Linked DNA regions of Drosophila melanogaster. The protein of the gene in region 2 interacts with the protein of the main gene of each other region in a pairwise test. Each region holds a gene or a part of one and is shown on either strand. Other genes may lie near its edges.

Evidence for each region.
Region 1: the proteins of Mvd (region 2) and Pisd interact in a two-hybrid assay, tested with the Drosophila melanogaster proteins (one large-scale study listed by BioGRID).
Region 3: the proteins of Mvd (region 2) and CG5835 interact in a two-hybrid assay, tested with the Drosophila melanogaster proteins (one large-scale study listed by BioGRID).

Annotation. Positions count from the first base shown.
Region 1 is NT_033777.3:24,049,210-24,054,935, reverse strand, and holds Pisd (phosphatidylserine decarboxylase), read right to left. Parts: upstream 4,154-5,726; 5' UTR 3,956-4,153; intron 3,256-3,955; exon of another isoform or gene 3,247-3,255; 5' UTR 2,890-3,246; coding exon 1,546-2,889; 3' UTR 1,344-1,545; downstream 1-1,343. Other genes in the region: CG6000 (uncharacterized protein), read right to left, coding at 1-441; Atg6 (Autophagy-related 6), read left to right, coding at 4,299-4,413, 4,470-5,517, 5,572-5,677.
Region 2 is NC_004354.4:15,746,195-15,753,105, reverse strand, and holds Mvd (mevalonate diphosphate decarboxylase), read right to left. Parts: upstream 3,941-6,911; 5' UTR 3,855-3,940; coding exon 3,803-3,854; intron 3,742-3,802; coding exon 3,671-3,741; intron 3,275-3,670; coding exon 3,157-3,274; intron 3,097-3,156; coding exon 2,171-3,096; 3' UTR 1,369-2,170; downstream 1-1,368. Other genes in the region: Graf (GTPase regulator associated with FAK), read left to right, coding at 1-565, 634-713, 773-873; CCT6 (chaperonin containing TCP1 subunit 6), read right to left, coding at 4,334-5,798, 6,199-6,335.
Region 3 is NT_033777.3:19,147,210-19,156,490, forward strand, and holds CG5835 (uncharacterized protein), read right to left. Parts: upstream 6,478-9,281; 5' UTR 6,254-6,477; coding exon 6,187-6,253; intron 4,405-6,186; coding exon 4,280-4,404; intron 2,424-4,279; coding exon 2,026-2,423; intron 1,975-2,025; exon of another isoform or gene 1,953-1,974; coding exon 1,829-1,952; 3' UTR 1,423-1,828; downstream 1-1,422. Other genes in the region: Ppcs (phosphopantothenoylcysteine synthetase), read right to left, coding at 1-51; CG11779 (uncharacterized protein), read right to left, coding at 7,924-8,588, 8,656-9,193, 9,257-9,281.

The DNA.
Region 1 (5,726 bases), on a different chromosome or scaffold from region 2:
GGCCCAATCCAGCCAAGATCCCTGGTAGTTCTTTACATTCTTGAATCCCAATGCGGCGGCAGCTTCTGCAGCCTTAAGGCTTCTTTTGCCAATCTTGCAGTGGAATATAATCTCCGTTTCTGGCTTCGGTTTTTCCCGGCCATATTTGGATTTAAAAAGCTGCTCACTGGCCGCCAATTCCTGACTAACCACGCCCAGAGGGATGTTGATGCTGGCGGGGATTTGTCCGGTTTCCTTCAGCTCTTCCGGCTCCCGGACATCGATGAGCAGTTTCTGTGGTTCGCTGGGTAGTTTCTTGACCACGTCGTAGTCCACGATTCCAATTTGAGGAGCCTGGCTGTAAAAACGTTGGAGGAGATTGCTCTGAGTATTCCTGGCAGTGCTGAACGGGATCTGGGATCTAGCGACCCTCAAGGCCATCATACAGTGTCGCATCATCATTTTAATGTGCTTTATAAACAATTATATTCAGAATAAATACCAATATTACGTAAAATCACAGAGAACAACAAATGAATGCCGGCTGTCAGCTGTTTAACACAGTTCACCTCGTTTGTACAATGAGGTGAATTTAACTGAACGTTCATTTATCGAGTTGGCGCGAATTTTTAAAATTAAACCGAAAAAAAATTATTTGATAAGAATATGGCGTGATATGCCAAAATAAAAGTTCCTTATGTTTTTTTTTCACAACGAATAGCTTTAAAGAGTGGCAATTCCACGACTTATACTTTTATTTAAACATTTACAGCACTGTTGGCGCCATATTCGAAGTTCCCTTAGTGATTGCCCTTAAGCCGATGCTCGATTTGCAATCAAATCGGTTGCCATGGCGAATAATTAACACTCACGGACTTCGTGGAGTGTGTGTGTCAAGGCCAGGAACCAAATCACCCGTCACCGCCTGATAAGTTCAACGAACAAGATTCCCGGCGTCCGGGCTTGATTGAATTAATTAAACGGAATGGATTGCGATCCCGGATTCTGCGCTAAAGTAAACACTGGGTGGCGCAAGGCATAGACGACTTGTCATCTTGTCGTCGGCAGCGGCACGCGCTTGTCTAGCCCAAAAAGGTTTTGCTTCATTTTCAGGTTCACTGATAGCGTGGACTCCGCAAAAGGAGGTGAGTGTGGACCCCCGGAGCGTTATTTGGCCCGATAAGCTGGCTACAGACACAGACTTAGTCTTTCTGAATCCTCAGCAACGAGGGGTTCAACGACTGCGTTTCAGCCTGGTATCTCTTATCAAAACGTTCCCTGATAACGCCCCACCTCAACAATCGGTGTTCTACTTCAGAAGCGCGTGCCTGAATGAGTTAATTGATGGATGGTCTGTTGTTGTTCTCAAATATAATTCGACGTTTATTGTATAAAATATAGCTTAAAACTACTGAAATGGCAACAATACACAGAGTTAGCTTCGCAGGATGTTCACAAAATACATTTGCCTAGGACACGAGCGTCTAATGCTAATACAACAAGTGATCTGAGCAGTTGGGGGACAGGACTTTGCACTGATTCGGTACATAATTGTGGCTCCCATTTTCATTTGGAGCCGACGATGTGGCCGAGGGACTCGCCAACGCGGATCTTCTGACCGGCGATAATATCAAATTTGAAATTCTTTGGCGCCTCGAAGAGCAGGACTATGGTGCTGCCCATATTGAACTGGCCCACCAGATCCCCCTTGCCGAATTCCTTGGGCGCTTCTGTTAGTTCTTTGTTCAAGACCAGTTCATCGTACTCGTAGGTGCTGGGCGGATGCTTGCCGACATTGAATCCAGTCCAACGGTTCGTCTTCAGATCGGCATCCATGTAGATTTCGACGGATCCCACGTTTGTGGCACCCACGGCGGTGTAGGAGAAGAATCCGTGCTTCCACTGGCCCATGTACAGCACACGTTCGTTGAGGCAAAACAGACCAGGCAGCCAGCCGGCAACTTTGGGGCTCACGGACAGCAGTTCGCCGGAGAAGTGACGACGAATGGTGGGCTTCCAAGCGGTAGGAGAGTGGAATCGATGGTAATCTCCGGGAGCCAGATATATCACGCACTGGTACAGCTCCGTAGAACCATCGCTCTTCTTTTTGAGGGCCTGGGCATAGGAGGCACCGGAATTTGCCTGCTCCACAGTCTCCAGCGGGCCAAGGAAGTCCTCGATACTGTAGCTAACACCCTTGACCTGCTCTATTAGCGAGTCCGAGGCGCTGCCAAAATGTAGAACCTTACCGTCGGCGGGGGAGACCAGTGGAGCCTGCTGATCGATGACACGAACGCCCTCCTTAAGTGGCCTGGTAAAGAACTCAGCCAGACTATTGTAGTGCTCATACTCCGGATACATGGCCTCGCTCAAATTAACATCAAACGTGTTGGAATACCATCCGTAGACGTAGGGACGCAGACTGGGAGGCAAGTAGCAAGCGGCCAGCCAGCCCCAGCAACGGCTGATTATGCGCAGTGGCAGGGAGCAGTAAATGCGCGACTGGAGCTCGGACGCTGTCCGAGGTTTTCCTTCCTTTTCGCAGCGGTTCTTCTGCAACTGCCACTCGATGGCGCCAAACACACAGATGCCCATGGGAGCCCAACGCAACAGGAAGCCCGTCCACCGTGAGAGTATATTGCGCCGAATCTGAGCTAACTCCTGACTAGGATTCGGTTGTTGTTTATGTTGCGGGCGCCGGTGGTGTAATGGTGCCTCCTTGGAGGCTGGATTCGAGGAGAATTGGCGCAAGTGACGGGCCACCGGCAGACTGGCATTCTGAGCCTGCGGCTGTGGTCCTTTAATGGGCTGCAGCTGTAGCTGGGCCGGCTGATGCTGCTGCTGCACCACCTGTCTGAGATTGCCGGCCTTCAGCAGGAAGCGGCCACGAGGTACGAAGTAGGAAACCATTGTTGCTCTCGCTATTGATAAACGGCAGCCCCAGCCGCACTAATCACGTAATCACGTCTGCCTATATGCCCAGATAAAAATGGCACGATGTGGAACTGGTCTCGGCTTCTGTTTTTTGTTTCTGTTTGTTTAATCTGGCGCGATAAATTCGGCTGGCTTTTGAGTGAATGAGTTGCGTAGATCCGCAAATCTAGGGATTCAGCCGGAACCTAGGAACAGTTGCAAATCAAAGCACCAGCATTCGGTGAGTGGGATTTTGGTTCAGGCACTCTTGTGTCAGAATTTAAATACTCGTGGGAGGAGGAGTTCTGGACGTTTCAATTGTTGCTTCCGTATCGCTGTGCTGCCTGCAAGAGACTGAAAGTTTTCCATGGGTCGTCAAATGCGAAGAGGCTACAATGTGACCACCGACAGTGCTGCCAGGTTTTGAAAGCTAGATTTACAGCGGCAAATTTCGTGCTGCCCCATTGCTAGAAATTTCGAGCTTGATAACGGAAACTTTTCAAAAACAAAATTTCCCTTAGCAATTATATAGTTATTAAACACATGTGTCAGCTTCAAGTGCAAGTCTTTATCAGTTTCTCTACTTTAATTAATTCATCTTATTATGATTTTATTTCACTCTTACAATTTCTTTGCTTATCAATGCTTGTGGCTTAACTACAATACAAAGATTGCGAAAGTCAATGTCCTTAACCTTTAATTCTTAGTCTATATGTGGGGTGCTTAGTACGTCATTTCACATTTTTTTAAATACTTCCTTCGCACAATTTACCTAATCAAATTAAAAATGAAGTGAATAGCTTTCTGGCACTTGTGCTATCATTTTTGGTAAACTATTTATAAAGTATGGTTTACGCTGGAGTAAGTTTAAAATTGAGTTAACAAAAAATATAATAAGTCGTTCGATATCAGGTTTCTCTTTTAGTCCGTTCGCTAACTATAAACTATTATTTATAAAAATTGTATTTGGGTTCTACCTCTTTGCTACTATGAAATATTTGCTATAGCTAAAATAGGTTGGCAGCACTGGCGACGGCACTCCGTCTAATGTTCTGTCGCTTACCAAAACAAACCAAAAGCCAACCCCTTGAGTTCTCTCTTATCAGCGGGAATTGTGGTCAAGGCCTGCAGCTTCGCGGCACGCTTAAGCATCTCCGGCGGACACAATTAGGCAATGTTATTGTTTAAAACTGGTTTTCTGTTATTTCTCTCTTTTTTACTGTCTCAGGTTGTTGTTGGTTGACGATTTACTGTCCGATTAACTGCGCCATTTTTCCACACTCTTTTTCGGAGGGGGTGGCAACTCTGGTAGCAGTTGCAAACAGCTGATGGATTATTTGTGTTTTTACACTCGGTGAAAGATTTAATTGTATGCAAAAATCGAAGGACAACAAACAGGAACGACAATGAGTGAGGCGGAAAAGCAGGCGGTGTCCTTCGCCTGTCAGCGCTGCCTGCAGCCCATCGTCCTGGACGAGCAGCTGGAGAAGATTAGCGTGCACGCAATGGCGGAGTTATCTTGTAGGTGATGATGGGTGATACACTCTGGAAATTAGTCTAATAAATCACTTTTTCAGTGCCCATCTACGGAGACAATGGCAATACATTGGACCCGCAGGACGCCAGCAGCTTCGACCACTTTGTGCCGCCCTACAGGCTTACGGACTCTATAAATGGCACTGGTTTTATGCTGGTTTCCGATGGCAGGGACAACAAGAAAATGAGTGCTGCTTTTAAGCTGAAAGCGGAGCTGTTTGACTGCCTCTCCTCCAACTCTGAGATTGACCATCCGCTGTGCGAAGAGTGTGCCGACTCCATGCTGGAAATCATGGACAGGGAACTGCGCATCGCTGAGGACGAGTGGGATGTGTACAAGGCTTATTTGGATGAACTAGAGCAACAGCGTGTAGCACCCAACGTTGAGGCCCTGGACAAGGAGCTCGACGAACTAAAGCGCAGCGAGCAACAGCTTCTGTCGGAGCTAAAAGAGCTCAAAAAGGAGGAACAATCGCTAAATGATGCCATTGCCGAGGAGGAACAGGAGCGAGAGGAGCTGCACGAGCAGGAGGAAAGCTACTGGCGCGAGTATACCAAGCACAGGCGTGAGCTAATGCTCACCGAGGATGACAAACGAAGTCTGGAGTGTCAGATCGCCTACTCGAAACAGCAGCTGGACAAACTGCGCGACACCAACATATTCAACATCACCTTTCACATCTGGCATGCCGGGCATTTCGGTACCATTAATAACTTTAGGCTGGGTCGATTGCCCTCTGTATCCGTGGACTGGTCAGAGATCAACGCCGCTTGGGGCCAGACGGTGCTTCTGCTCTCTGCGCTTGCTCGTAAGATAGGGCTCACCTTCGAGCGGTATCGTGTAGTACCCTTTGGAAATCATTCGTATGTTGAGGTGCTCGGCGAGAATCGAGAGCTCCCGCTTTATGGCAGCGGCGGATTTAAGTTTTTCTGGGACACCAAGTTTGATGCTGCCATGGTAGCTTTTCTCGACTGTCTTACCCAGTTCCAGAAGGAGGTCGAGAAGCGCGACACCGAGTTCCTGCTGCCCTACAAGATGGAGAAGGGCAAGATCATCGATCCCTCCACGGGAAATTCCTATTCTATTAAGTAGGTTTAGAAATGGTAAAGATTTTACCTATAATAATGATGGTTTCCTTACAGAATCCAGTTTAACTCGGAGGAGCAGTGGACCAAGGCACTGAAATTCATGCTAACCAACCTGAAATGGGGATTGGCCTGGGTTTCTTCACAGTTTGTGTCACCGTGATTTTTCTTTCTCTTTTAAATGTATATTTATAAATTACTTAATTATCCCC
Region 2 (6,911 bases):
CCAATCCAGTTACTCAATCGGGCTCAAGTAGCCATATATATACGAACACATCTAGTGCTGGTGCTAACTCAAGCAATCGGATTAGTCTAAGCAATGTATCCCCGCCAAATACTGCAATGCGCAAGGAGCGATTCCTGGGCAGCGCCAGTGGTCCGCAGCAGCATCCGCCCGTTCAACGGGGTCTGCACTCGTACGGCCAGACAAAACACTATTCACCCCTAATGCCAACGTCAACATCCAGCTCCAACGACAGCGTATGTGATTCACTATCTTCCAACAACGGCCTGGGCAGCTCCATTGTGGCCAATAGTGGCAACAGTGGGAATGTTGCCCAGCACTTGAGCGCACGGAACACTAATGACTATGCGCTGATATCGTCACAGAATTCATCGCTGTCGCCGCATCTTGGACCCACCTGCGACGAGGTCGTCACGGCCACAACATTGCCCTCGGTTAGTTTAAGCTGTGGTGGCACCGCCAGCGAAAGCACCGAATATCCGCCTAGTAAAATGCATCGTAATCGTGACGTCAACCAAATAAAACGTGATTTGTCAACGGGCACCGCGTGAGTATATAATTTACTATTGGTTCTAATTGCAACTTAATCGCCTAAAACCTGTTGCTTACTTACAGTCGTGTGCGCACACTCTATGCTTGCATGGGAGAAAGCGAGGGCGAGCTTTCTTTCGAGCCCAACCAAATAATAACCAATGGTGAGTTTTGAGAGCATGAGTGGAAGATTTGTTATTTACAATGATTTCACCGCTTACAGTTCGTTACTCCCACGAACCCGGCTGGCTGCAGGGCACACTAAATGGGAAAACAGGACTCATTCCGGAGAACTATGTGGAACATTTGAAGCCGCACCATTAGAATTTGAGTGCGATGAAGTTCGTGGAGTTCGCAACTATTTCTTGCATTCGTCGGTAGATACAATTAATAAGGAGAATTAGGAAATCTGAAAATAATCGTTGTGTAAAAACTAATTTTGATTATGTGTACCCGTACCCATGAGGGGATTTACATGAGCTGCATTTTATTTTATGCTGGAAACCAGGAAACCACAATCTTACCTTATAAATATGTTAACCTTTATAATACCATGACCATACAATGTACTTATTTTTAATTATTTAATAAGGAGTATAAACTCAGTGCAACTGCAAAGATTTATTTACTAATTGTTACGCTCTTCATTTGTTGCTTATTTATACATAATTCACGTAATTTGTGCAAAAATGGATTACAACGTATCTAATATCTACTACATATACAAATGTATAAAAATAAATAGCAGTGCTTCGCTCACTTTTAAAATGTAAACTTTAAACTGAAGTCTGCCATATACCATATCAAAAAAAAAAAAATAATAATATAATAATAATAATAAATATTTTCTTAGCAAGGCAAAGAAAACGTAGAATGTTGAAATGGTTGTTTTACTATACTCTTTTGGGCGGTTTTTTTTTATCACAAGTTGGTCGCAAACCTAAAATAATGACTGTTTGCACAGAATATTACAAATGCGAACCATTTTTTAAGGATTCATTTTTTGTCAATTTTTTTGTAAAAATTTAGCTAAAATAACATCAATATGCTAAAGCAATACAAAAAATTTTCAGTTCAGAATTTTCTAAAGCCGCCGCTGTTTACTTTGCACAAAGCAATTAAATGTATGTGCATAAATAAACATATTTCAAAACGATAAATTATTCTATTCAAACAAATGTTTGCACTGCGACCCCACAAAAAGCATTCAAAATCGAAATGAAAGAAGTTCGTGTTTACAAAGCGTATTTTGTTGATTTTCTATAAATAGCATAAATACAAATGCAAAATAAATGTATAAACCAAGGTTAGCTAAAATTGCAATTAGAATTGATTTCCGTTTTTCATAATTTTATTTAAAAATAGCCAATCATTTGTTCACCGGAATTCATAAATAAATAAGGTAAAAATAAATAAAGAGAATAAATTAAGTTGTTGCAATTGAGATATTCAAATTTAGTCACGTAATAATGAATAATCGTGCGCATTTTAAATGTTTATACATTGTGCCCCATTGTACATTTTGATAAATGTATTTTCGCATAAATATATTCTAAAAAATATTTCCTTTATAGAATTTCTGTGCCTTTCCCTATGCAATTCACTCTCAAAATCACTCTCATCACTTCAGCGGAAGTCCATTTATCAATAAACTATTATCAGCGCTTAATTCTTTTGGTCCTTCACCGACTTTCGTGTGGATTATATATCTGAAAGCATTTTTAGCATGAACATCTAGTGAATCCAACTTGCTGCTCTCAGCATCTTGCACTTTTGGAATGGGAAGGCCTCGCAAGTAGGTGCCACCATCCGCTAAATCATTGGGGAACACCTTTTGGATAGCGCTCAAGAGATGCGGAACGTGCTCCGCCAGGACATAGAGGCATGCATTTGGACCAGCATCGAAGGTGTACGCGGCATGATAGCTACCCATTCGTTCGTTATAATCGTGAACGAAGGACACGATACTGTGCGACACATCGTTCATGTAGACACACGGCGGATAGGTGTCCAGGGCGATGGCATGGAACTGATTCGAGTCCTTCATCGTTATCTCGGCGAATGCCTGAAAGTCATGGCTTGCGATGGCCTCCCTCAATCGGATAATCCGGTCGGGAACCACTTGATCCACGCGATGTTTGATCAACTGAGACGTCTTCACCGCCTGTTGCATGCCCCTTGTCGAGGCAGTCTTCTTGCGTGCATCGTTAACGACCAGGATGAGCACATGCATGTTGGGCCAGTGGTCGGATGGAGCTATTTGCCTCGCCACCGAATCGCTGCCATCATCCAGAGCTCCGCGATGCCACTGCACAAAACCGCCATACAGACTGCGACATGCCGATCCACTTCCTTGCCGCGCCACCGTCGTCAGCTCCTCATTCAGCGGTATATCGTAGAGTCGGGACAGGGAGTACACCAGGCAGGCGTAGCCAGCTGCACTGGATGCCAGTCCGGCGGCGGTGGGGAAATTGTTTACCGATGCGATGTGCAGCTTCCAGGTTGGCGGAACCTTCTGGGAGCCACTCGCCACAGCCAATCGATGAACTGCAAGTGCATTTTTTACATTAAAGTTCTATACTTTTATATATATAACTATAAACTCGCCTTCATTCAAACAGCGCTGCAGGCGGGAACTCTCTTCAAAAGGCACCTCCTCCCCATTCAGCCACATGCGATTCGTTTCAAAGGATTCCGATGCAGTCACTGTTGTCTTGGCGCAGAGCTTGGGAGATGGGATCAAGAAAGGTAATTGTTCAAGATTTTAAAAGTCTCGATAGATTGCTATTTCAAAAAATAAGTTAGAAATTACAGGATTTCGAACAACCCATATTCAAAAACCCATTTTTTTTAAGTTAGTAATTTCATTTTAATCTTAAGCAAATTCAGTGTCCACACAAATCGAAAGAGAGAGAATCGGTGAAAAGTGAAAATCCGTGAGATCTTCCCAAATTAAATAGAAAGTTTTCGTAATATTTACATTTGTGAGAAAATGAAAACTTCGACTACGCGCACTTTAAACTTAAACCATTATTAAAAGCGTCTAAGGTTTTTTAATTTTTTAATTACAATTTGTTGGTTTTAAAACGCAAATAAATATTTAAATATCTTTCATATTTACCTCATCGGTGCTCAGAGTCATGCTAATGGAATCATTGACGGGCAGAATTAGCTCTTCGTGCCGCTTTCCCCCTTTAAAGGAATGCATGTGCATAAGTTTATGTGCTTATAATATATGTATTAATTTACCCACAATATTTGATGAGCGCTATGTTTACGGGCGCCACACAAGTAACCGAAAACATGTTTGAAAATGTTTTTAATTCAGAAATTCACTTGTTTTCAGCTGCTTTCCAGCGAAAGCGACAACTGTTGACTGCGGTGTGACCACCCAGTGGACTCTTCAAATATACCATGTGGCCCCAAAAAATGTAGTTGTGGGTATTCCCCAATTACCGCCCATATTGAGGTTTGAGTCACGGCTAAATCGCTATTTCCATTTATTTTTAAACCAATGAAAGTTTGTAGTGAGTAAACATTAGTGTTAATAAAAATAGAAAATACATTAGCGTTAAGCATAGAGCTGTGTTTGGTTTTTGTATTTATTAGAATTGTATTTTAAATGTGAATACTTGCAGCCGCAACCATTCCGATTTCATGTGTTTCCAAATTATTTACGTGTTTAGTTTTCTTTTGGTTGTGTGTGGCTTTGAGAGACGCGGGTTGAGTAGCATGCGGTGCATTAACTTGGTTAAATTGAATGGGTCGGATGAAATGATGGGGACTAGCCCTTGAGGCTCGTCATGCCCGCACGCATCACCTCGTCGACGAGAAGCAGGTTGCTGGCAATGATCGAACAGGAGTTGAGGATCTGCTTCTTAACGATGTAGTTGTCGTAGACGCCCAGATCCACGGGCTTCATGGGCTCCCCGGTGGCCAGATCCAGGCCGACCAGTTCGGGACTCAGGCGATCCTCAACAGTCAGCTTGACGATTGTGTCCTGGGCATCGTAGCCGCTGTTCACGGCCAGCGTCTTGGGAATGACCAGCAGGGCATCGGCAAAGGCCTGCACTGCCAGGCGGGACTTGCCCTTGATGGTGTCCTTGAAGGCGACCAGCTCGTTGTACGCGCGCACCTCGAATGCTCCAGCTCCGGGCACCAGAGCCTTATCGGCAATGGTGTTGTTGATGGCACGCAGACCGTCCCTGATGGCGTCCTTGATCTGGGTGATCGTGTGCTTGTTGGGACCCTTGATCAGGATCGTGACGGACAGCGGGTTCTTGCAGTCCTCAACGAAAGTGTACTTGTTCTCGCCCAGAACATGCTCGTACACCACACCGGCGTATCCCAAGTGCTCCTCCTGCAGATCGTCAAAGGAGTTCATTGCAGTGCCACCGCAGGCCAAAGACAGACGCTCCATGTTGCGGCGCTTGGCGCGACGCAAGGCCAGGATGCCCTCCTTGGCCAGGGCGTCCAGCGAGATGGGGTCGATGCCCTTCTGGTTGATCAGGACGAAGGTTTTGTCGGTGCCATCGCACACGGAGCGCTTCAATTCGATCACCTTCTTCACACGCTGGTCGATGAATTCGCGCTCGGCGCGCACAAAGGCCTCACGCTCCTCGGCGGTCTTGTAGAAGAAGCCAGAGTTGACCTCGGCCTTCTCGTACTCCAGCGAGACATTGGCCGTAAGGATGTAGGCATTCTCCAAACGCTTCGGCATGTCCGGGTGGCGAGCACCATGGTCCATGACTAGTCCACGCACCAGCTGTGTATCGGTATCGGATTTGTGCTGCATCTCCATCAGCTCCACCATGTGGAGGTCCACGGGCTTGGTCTTATCGGCACTGGCAATGGTCAGCACGGCATTCACGCAGACGTCCGTAAGCAGATCGGCAAGGGCGGGATGCACCTTGGTCTTCAGACTTGTGTTGGCCACCTCCACCAGGTTCTTCTTGTTGATCTCCACGGGCACCTTGACCTGGTCGAGCACCTCCAATGCCTTGTCGCGTGCCTTCTCGAATCCATCGGTCATGATGCGAGGATGCAGTCCCTCGGACAGATAGATATCGGCCTGCTTCAGGAGCTCGCCAATAAGCATCACAGTGGTGGTGGTTCCATCGCCGGTGGAATCATCCTGGGCCGTGCTGGCCCTGGCAATCATAGAGGCAGTCGGATGTTGGATCTGCATTTCGTGCAGCAGGACATTGCCATCCTTGGTGATCTTGATGTCGCCGGCGCCAGAAACCAACCTGCGAAGTTTCTAGAATTAGTATGCTTGTTTCACTTTTCACGGCGCGTGAGTCAAGTCACGCCTCTTTCGATGCCACTTTCTGAATCACCCGGTGCTGGATATGCAGGTAAACACACATTTATGAATAAATTAAAGCCTCTGGGGGCATCTTTCATTTAAGATTCTTTTTGAAATTAAATAAAAACACCTAAATTCTAAGCTTTTTGCTCCAGAGTTGCAACATTCTCTTTCTTTCTTTTGCGATGACGCATGCCGCTAGTTCCAGTCTAACCTCAAACTTGCAGTTGCCGCAGCTGTGACCAAAACGTTTGTTTTTTCGCCTATAAACTAGCATTCTCACTCAAATTGCTAATGGAACGCAAAGTGAGGGATATTAGAGGCCGGTTTTAGTAACTTACATCTTAACGGTGCCCTTGGGTCCCAAATTGGTGCGCATCACATCCTGCAGTCCCTTGGCGGCACTGATATTGATGGCCAGAGCCTGGGCGGCGCGGGCAAACTCGGCCTTGGGGTTCAGCAAGCTAATCGAAGCCATCGCGTGTCGCAATTAAACAGAGATTTTCTTAGCTCGGCAAAATAAATCAATAGGAATCGGCACAAATCCAAGCACGCTTAAAGTTAGGCGAATCGAAGAAATCAGATGGCAAGTGTGACCAGATGGGGGAAAGACAACTAGAGACTTCAAAGCAGTACAATCGATAGTATTGTAATCACTTCCAATTTGTAACACTTTTATTTATTTCTAATTAGATTTTTCGTTGTGGTGGCTTACATGCAAAATGACATTTAAAAAATGTTTCATATATATATCTTTTTTTTTATTTAAATTTATTAAACGAAATTATTTTATTGACTAGCGTACCATTACCCTTCTTGGGCAACTTAATTTAATCGGTATCAATTTAAGCGATTCTTAATATCTAAGTTATTTACAAAGATTATATGATTATGAGTATTAAAGAAGGTCTTAAGGGTGGTAATATATTTCCCGCTAGTAATGGCTATTTCCCGCTAAATCACTGCAAAATAAGCCGCACAATTTAATCGGCTCACCTGCGACCACCGATGGCGATTAGCAAATGAAATGCAACCGTGCGCCCAAACCCCAACA
Region 3 (9,281 bases), on a different chromosome or scaffold from region 2:
GAAGTCCGCGGGCGGCAGGTGCGTGTTGTAGAAGTCCTCCCAGTGCGTCATGTTGGCTTATCCTTTACGCTTGTTTTTGCTTTTTCTTTGTCGACCTGCTGCTAATTGGCCGACAAACGGAAGCTCGAAAATGAACGGAAAGTTGCCCTCTTCCGCCGGAAGCTATGCACTGCCAATTAATAAATACAGAATGTGCGAAATGGCAACCAAAATTAATTAACACACGCACTGCACTATTCGGCGTACTATCTTAATTGATTGATTTGCTTTTGCTTTGCTTTGGTTTGGTTTTTTTTTGCAGTTTCCGAAATGCGAAGGGCGGAATATGCGTGGCAGGGGGGCGGGGCAGGGGCTGCGGGTGGCGCTGCTTATCAATGGAACCGTTAAGGGGAGCGCGCGCGAGCGGGAGAGCGGAACGGAGCGCTCTGAAAAACCGGAGAGAGAGAGAGCGAACGAAAATGCTGAAAAACGCAGCTGTGGAAATGCGATGCGATGTGCACGGCAGCAAGGTCCGCGGGATTCTGAACCGAAAATGCGATAGGCAGCGATGGATGGCGGAGCGGGACGAGCGGGAATGTGGACAGGCGCACTCAAATCCGTATCTTTATTCGCACGAAACCTCGGGGTTCAAAGTGCAGGCCAAAAAAAAAAAACGCGTTGGCCAGGTAACAGCTGATTGCAGTGTTGGACAGGGACGAATTGGAGGCATTGCTGACTGGTTCCGGCGCATGCAGCAAACTTGTTGCTTGTCAAGATTAAGTTTTTCATGTATCGTTCTAAGGAAGCTATACAAAGGTTTCATTTAGCTAATAAGTAAGAAAGACCACCACTTCTGCCTAGTTATCTGTCAGCCAGAAGGTGTTTTTGTTGAATATTCATATTTGTGAACTAGTTCTTAGTCTTGTGGTACCCATGAGCTATCTGAGCAAAGTTGGCTGCGCTTTAGATATTATTTCAGTGTTGTTAATTAAGAAAACGCGCCTAATTCAAATTCAAATTTGAGCTATAAATACCTGTACGAAAACAAATTATTTCAATTTTTAAAGGGAAACCTTTTTTATTTTAGGGTTAAGAAAGAATAAATGCATAACAAATAAAAGCAATGTAATTGTTAACTCCAAAAATACCTTATACTACTGCATTTTATTGGGTGTGTAACTCGTTCTTTGTGTGGCTATTTTTAATTTAATGGCTTACCTGAGTGTGTTAAGTGTAAACAAGGCTTGTGAAGATTTATATCCAATAAAACTCAAAATGAATCAAGTCAGATAACATGTTTTGGTTATTTTTAAATTGCTTATTCATTTATAATCCATTAAATAATTCCAGTATTTTGAAAACCACAGAGTCTTAAGCAGCTGTGAAAGAGGTAACTTGCAGGAATTTACCATCAACAAAATAAAGACGCCTAAGTTAAATATTCATTTACATTTACATATAGTTTTTATTATCGATTAGCAACGTGGGTTCTATGCGTATTGTTAGTGCAAGGACGTACAAAAGAATCTCTAGAACAATATCACAGAAACTTACTAACTAATTGGTCTTGTCAACTGCGCTGTTAGAAATCGGCGTGACCTTTAGCAACGCCATTAGAGTGTAATTGGGAAGCGGAATGCTTTTCAGCTTGTCGTGGAAATTTATGGCATACATTAGACGATTGAGCACCGTCTCTCCACCACCATCCTAGCTGAGGCTGCAATGAATTGCCATCGTCGTCGTCTCGTCTGAATTGTGTGGTGAGTGTGCACTTTAAACCGAAACCAGGTCCAATTGAAGCCCACCGTCGTATCGGATCGAATCGAATCGGACCAGATTTCGAAACGGACTACGCCCTAGGCGTAGCTGCCGTCGTGGTTGGCGCATAGACCTGATAATCGACGTCGTCGACACCAGCCGCTTCATCCTCCAAGTCGTGATTGACCAGTCGTTCGCGCATTCCATACCGCTGCCTGATGATGGTGAAAAGAGATGGTAAATGAGTTAGCACTCTGAAAATTAGAGCAATTAGCCAATAGAACTCACTCCAGGTGCGAGCGCCATATGACCAGGCCGGCGTACAGGCCGATGGAGACCAAGGCCAGTGCCACCACCACGATGCCGAGCAGCACGTGTCCCTGGCTAACCGCATCCGCCTGCACGTTCAGCGGGCTCATCTCGATGTTCTCGTTGGCGAAGGTTTCGGTGTCCGTGCTGAAGATCACACCGCGTCCCTTGAAACGCTCCTCCAGATCGTCCACGTCATCCATGCTACTGTCGTCTTGGTCGGCATCGCCGGATTCCAGGATCTCCACATCGTACTTGTAGTTCTGTGCCAAAACCAAATTGGTGGCCGAGTTCAGTTGGTCCTCGTCGCGGTGGGGATATGACCGCCGCTGCTGCTCCTCCGATTCCGCCTCTGAGTCGGAATCGTCGGAAGTATCCTGCGATTAAAATAAAATACAATTTTAGTTAGTATAACATGCATATATTATTCAAGCTTTAAAATTAAACGATCAACATGTTTAAGCTGAATTTAACGTATATTCACTAATTATTTGTTATATTTTCATATTTATCTATAAATTGCCTTTAATTGCGTCAATTTGTTTTTCCCTGTGTATACAAAAAAAAGGCTCGTGTCATCGATGTGGCTTTCACTGTCGGCTGAGTAATTGATTTTCAAACGGCACGTGATTCTATGCGAGTTCTATGCCGAATTTGGGCAACAAATTTGAAAGTGGGCGTTGCAAAAGTGTCTGAATTGTGAAGGCGTGTTTAATATTTTTTAAAGTGCCTTATAGCTTCTTGAGATCATCTTTACTTATGCAAACGAATGAAGTAGCTTTAAAAATCCGGCTTTCAAATAGAAATTTTAGTGAAAATTAAAAAAAGTCATATACAAATTGTAATTGCTTTACAAACATGCTAATGTTTTGGATGGACTCATTACTTTCCCCTATTATTAAACAACAAGTTTTAAACCAGTCCGATTAAAAAACTGAGTGTTCTATTAAGCCAGATAGTGTTGACTTGGTAACCGAGTCTAACAATTGAAACTGAAATATATCCATGGAAATCGGAAGCCTCGCTGAGTCACAACTGAAAATTTCGAGGCTTTGCGTAAGTCAAATGTCTCCGCATATTAATCATCACTTAAAGCAGAGACTCACCTTACTTATGGCTCAATTATCCAAGCGAAACAGCTAAGGAAATTGGCTTTCATCTCAGTTTAGTTTCACTTCCAGCTGTCTAAACTAGCCAAGTTATCAGTAAGGTCGCTCGAACTTATCTTGCATAATATGTGTGTGTTTGGTTACCCATATTATTTTTCCATAAAGAATGTTAATGACTGCCGCAACCAAGTTGTTTTGCCAAATGCTGACTACCACAGATCACTCTCACTTACTATATAGTAAGTATCTTGTATCCCAAATGCCCTTTGTATGTATATGTAGATTGCTGACCCCGATGACCGTCGAGATCGAGATACCAACTTTTTGTAATTGCCAGTAACAATACGTGACTGGTTTTACTGTCTCTGTCTCAATCTCATTTGCTTTTTTAGCCGCTCCATCTCGTGTAATTGGCCGATTTGTTAACAACTAACGATAGAAAAAAAATAAGGTGACAAGCGAGCGATCGAGTTGGGAGATCTGGAAAATCGTAATCTGATTGGGGATTACCCTTGTGGGGATACAAAGGGGTTTTCTAAACTTCATTCATTCAAACGTCACGACAGCCGGAGGGATTACCTAGAATCCGATTCCATGGTGACTCACCCAAGTGTGGTTGGGGTATTATCACCCGCTATTATAATGCCCCCCACCGATTGGAGTTTCGTGACTAAGGCGTTGTGTATCCCCCCCTCTAGACCAAGTTTTTTTTTTATAATTTTATGCAAAGTTTCTGTGCGTGAGCTTTTTTATTTTTGTCTTTATAAGCGTTTCTTTCGGAGCCCCTTAAAAGGCGAACGCTGCGCGTGTCTTCTGCTGGCTTTTGCATTTAAATCAAAGTGAAAAGTAAATAAACATTTTTAAAGCGTAAATTTCCGGTTCTGGGTAAAAATAAACCCAAAATGCAGTAATGCATTTGGCCTGGCTCGTATTTCAGCTTCTTGGGTCGTTCGTTACTTAGTGCGTCAGTGCGTCAGTGATTCCAGTCGGAGTGGTTTTGGTTTTGGTTTTGGTTTTGGTTTTGGTTTTGGTTTTGTCCCGTTGTACCATTCTGCCCCGTTGCCCGGCTCTCTTTTGGCCTGGCCCAGTTACCCATGCCCAGCGTTTTGTTTTGGCCAACTCACCTCCACGACAGCTGTCTTATTTTTGGCAGCCACCGGCACTCCTCGTGCTGCTCCAGCTCCTGCACCCAGATCACTTGGCTCCTTCGTCTGCGGTTTGTTTAAATCCTGCGAGGGCTTGGCTTGGGCTAAAAGAGAAAGCAATTAAGCCGAAATGAGATAATGCATTCGCTTGAATTAGCCGGTATTTGGTTACAGCTTACAGCGGGCTACCTGAATAAGAAAACACAGATCTTCTCGGTTTCAGGGGAAGCGCAAATATTTACCCTTTACCCCGAGATTTCGCAACTAGCACCTTTTTAGCCAAATTGCAGATATGTTTCCTTATCAGCCAACTGTGATTTTATTCAAAACTAAACACCAGACCCAGACAATACGAATTTGTTTTGCTGCCACCGCCGCATTATCAGTAGACAATGAATTTGGGGTTACGCTTTCTGGCAAACAAAGTAAAAGCGTGTTGTGGCTCAAAAAAGCAGCATTAATTAGCACAGACGAGGTCAATGAAATAGCAATGATGGCGTCAATAAAATATATGTAAATATTTTAATATATTTATTTAAATTGGAATAAGTAAATAGCAGCCTGTTTTACTTTCCGAAACTCAATAACTAACTTTAACCATTCCATTCCTACTTTAATCACTGCCACTGTACACTTTAAGATTTGTTTGAATCGTATGGTTTTTTTTTTTTGCAAACCTGTCCGTTTATACATACATATATACTATATAGCAGAACTGAAACAATAAACACATTTCTAATGCCACAAACGATTCGCCAATGCCGATCGCTTTGGGATTCGCATAAACCGCTCACGAATCGCGTCAAAATCGCGCGTTAGCTGGTGGAGCTTCCAAAAATTCCACAAACAAAAGCCAATTAAATTCGAAAAAGCACATGATTTAGCCATGATGTCTTGCAATTTATTGCATTCGACATTCGTAAGTCACCCAGTTTTGAATTGAGTACGTGACGATAGGCCAAAGCCTTCAGCCGAAGAAAACTTGATCCACTTTTGACAAGTGTCAAAGAGTCCGGAGAGTTCTTATCACTGAGTTGCGGGTGCTAACAACTTTAGGACAAATAATATAAGTTAAGACCCAGCTCATAAAGTTCTGACACCTCATAATCTGCAGGAAGGAACGGCAGTCATTTGGCCATTTGTTATAAAGTAATCTCGTTGGTTATGTAATAGTAGTAATAGTAAGGAAATTTTAAGGATTATATTGTAATTAAATTAATTGGCTTTCAAGCTTAAAAATGAAAAATACAACATGAAAATCCAATGCTAGAATGTCCACTATCATTTCAACAAATTGTACTTTTAGAACTTATTGATTTAAAAAAGAAATCTGAAACCCAATTATCCATCTGAATAGTTCCCTCTTGGCAGGATTTATACAACAACGCCTATTATTTTGACCACAACTGTTCGCTTACAATTCCTGCGTAGCGATCATTTACCAATATAGCGCAAAAGGCCTGGCGAAATCTTATCTGCACTGCGAAGCCAGCTGGATGGATGGAGTTCCCCCATGGAATTAAAGTCTTGCAATTTAATTTCGCGACCTGGCGGGACCTTGATGGACGACGATTCATTGCGACGGGACGGCGGGCGGTCGAACCATTCAATAAAAACCCCATATTTATGCGCTGTAAACCGGGCGGGCTTCACCATAAAGGCGTCCCGAACCGGACATGGTCTTCGATCTTGGCTGGCACTTAAGGCAAAGGGTGAACCGTAAACTGTTAGCTGTCTAGCCAAGTGGCCGCTCCAACTCGATCCCATCCAGCTGCGCTGCAAACTAGTTTCGCTGCAGAAGTGGAAACATCGAGTGTGCGTGTCTATCTATCTTGTTTCGCCCGTTGTCACTGTAGTTATATCTTTTTATCTGTCGTGGTACTTACACTCCGCCAGCAGCAGAACCAACAGAAGCGCACTGTTGAAGACCAAAGTTTTCCGCAGTGCCATCATATTGCGAATTTATGTAGATATGCGGGCACCGTCGTCACTTCCTTTATCAATTAGCTCCTTATCACTCACGCACAGGTTACGCGCCACTCGATCGCTGGATACTTTTCGATGATTAAGCGCTCGTTCGGCTTATTCTGCGGGCCAAATTGTAAATGTTTGTTATATTTCTCCGCCTTGCCAGTTTTACGTGCGTTCGCGACGAGCTTTCCGTGCGGAATGACAAACTCAAGCTGAGAGCCAGCCGAGTTAACCCCAACTCTGTTAACTCTCTGTTAACCGATCGAGGCAGTAACATTGACTTACTGTTGGGGGTATTCGAAACGAAGAAATTACTTAGCATTCTTAACTTTGCTCGGATTTTACCACCTTGCTCGTTAACCGATTGTTAAAGGTATAAATTATTATTATTATTCAGTACATTTTATTCCTGATATGTGCTATTTTGAATAACGAAGTGGGTCATGAATGAATTCTGTGAATTAAAAAATCAAATACTTATAGGCTTTTTTATGCTAATTATTCATCAAATAAAAATGTCTCTAATTTATAATCACTGTTTTTGTCACAAACATCAAAATATTTTTCAAGTTTTTGAGATACATGAATCACATGCATAGAAAACAATGACTACTTAGGTATTTGCAAACATTTTTATTTGAGCAACAAACTATTTTCTCCCTCAAAACAGCAAGTTTATACTACTTATTAACCAAGGTAAAATTAAAATGTTTTACAACTGTCATCGGAAAATAAAGCATTCCATGTTTTAAAAACACCCAATCGAATGGATTATGTAAAAGTATTGGATTTTTTTTATTTTGCCCACTTAGTAGCAAGTGGCGCTTACGGATGCCCGATCCATGGGGCAACCATAAACTTGGATGTCTGTGATTAGGGTAAGGAAACATAACACTTATTTCACAAGAATTCGCCAGCTGCTTAAATGGTACATGTAAAAATATTGAAGTATTTTTATTTTTCTAGACATTCTGAGTGGCGCTCGATGTGTACGTACATACAACTCTTTGGATTCTGTGTGTACAGTCAATTTACGATGCCCAAGCCGCCCTGAGCGAATTCCATATTTACAAGAGAAGGGGGTGGGGATTGGGAGGGGGGGGGGTGTCGGAAAGGGTTGGGGCCTTAAAATACCTAAACTCAACTACACTCAACAATTTGCTTATGGTCACTACTTATACGCCTTATACACCGGCGGTTGCACTTTAAGCTTCAACGTTATAGATTTGGCCAGGACACCAGCGGAGGAACCACGATCCCGACGGCCAATCCCCGCACCGAACACTCCTTCCGTGCTAGCCGGAAGTGGATCGGCGGTGGGCGTGGCCGCAAGGAACGGCCAACCGGGGCGTCATTTGGGATATGAGCCGCGCCGGAGCCGGCAGTCTGCTGTGCCCGGAATTCGTGGGGGAATCGTTCACGGGACCGACCAGCAGCCCCTGCCGGGCGGACGCAGTTGACTAGTGGCGGACAAAACTTTCAAAGCAATCGAAAGCGAAACCTTTGTACACACTTAATAGATTCCTGCGGGTCGAGTTCGTGGTCAGTTCGTCGTCAATGCTCAGTGTCCAGTAATCTTTTCGTTTGTTTTTTGGATGAGAAAATGAGGGAAACTTAAACGGCTCGGTAAAAAAGAAAGGCGTGGCAGCGCGCTAAACAAATTGCTCTGAGCTGTTGGCGGACAGCTCCATCAGCCGCCAGGCAGCCTTGGGGTTGAGTTCGTTGCGGTCGCGGCACAGCACCCAGACGTAGTGAACCCGCATCACCTTCTCCGGATCTCCCTCGACGACCTGACTCTTCTGGTCCCGCACGCACATAATCTGCTGGGCTTGGAACGTGATAATCAGTACCGGGCCCTGCTCCATAACCTTGCCCATTGCCAGTTCAATGTTCTCGATGTCGAGGATCTTGGAGTCCAGGTACACGCCGGCCTTCTTAGCCTCCTTAATGGGATTTGCGATAATATTGAAAGTGCTCTCAAAGCACCAATCCTTCAGAATCTCCAGATCCCCACGGACAATCGATTCCAGAATATTTGGAATGATGTCCGTTTCGCAATCGCGGAGGAAATCCTTCTGATCAAAGCTCGGATCGATTTTCACCAGCTCCGTCATCGTTTCCGAAAGCTCTGTCTTTGAAAAGAGTCCACCCATGACGTCGGACACTTTATCGGTCAGCAGGCGGGAGGCACGAATAACAGGGTTCTCGGACTCGTCGTATTTAACCTTCCAGTCAAGCACCTTGTTCACGTAGGTATTGTTGTTCTTGAAGTTCTCCCACGACTCGTAGAACTTGGAGTCCTTGTGCAGCTCCATACCTGAAAAGTAACATTACATTATGGCCATGACCTTTGATCTTATTGAAGGAAAAAGATGGAGACTCACCAGTGGCTTCCGTGTTGGGCTCCACAACGCGATCACTATCGCTCATGACGAGCTGGACGCGCTTTCGCAACTTGGCAGGAGCACGATAGACACGATTCTCTATGCTCGCGCTGTCCATCTCCTTCTTGATGGTCGTCGTCGTGTTAGAGATAGCCTGGAATGCGCTGGTCTGGCCCAGCTTGCCACTGGTGTCGGAGATCGTGTCGCTGACCCCCCTAGCCTTCTTCGAGAGCTCCTCGGTAACCTTTTTGGCCAGGTGGGATTTGCTGGCGTCCTCCAGAACATCGCCTACGCGCTCCTTGATGGCGCCCAGCTGCTCCTTTAGCATGCTAGACGACTTTTGCGCCTCCGATTCGACAATGTTAAACTTTTGCCGCGCCGATTTCAGGGCATCCGATTCTTCCAGCTTCTGGGCCTCCTCACGGAACTTTCGGATATTGTCCTTGATCTCCTTGTTCTTATCCATCTCCGCCTTCATGTTGTCGAAGAACTGCGAGAAGAAGCCGGCCCTGCGACCTGGCGCACTATAAAAGCGGGGCTGCGGAGTAAAGTCATGACTTAGGCCGGTTGCGCCATGGGGTTTTATGAGCCAAACTCTAACCTGCTGCTGCTGCAGGTTCTGCGAG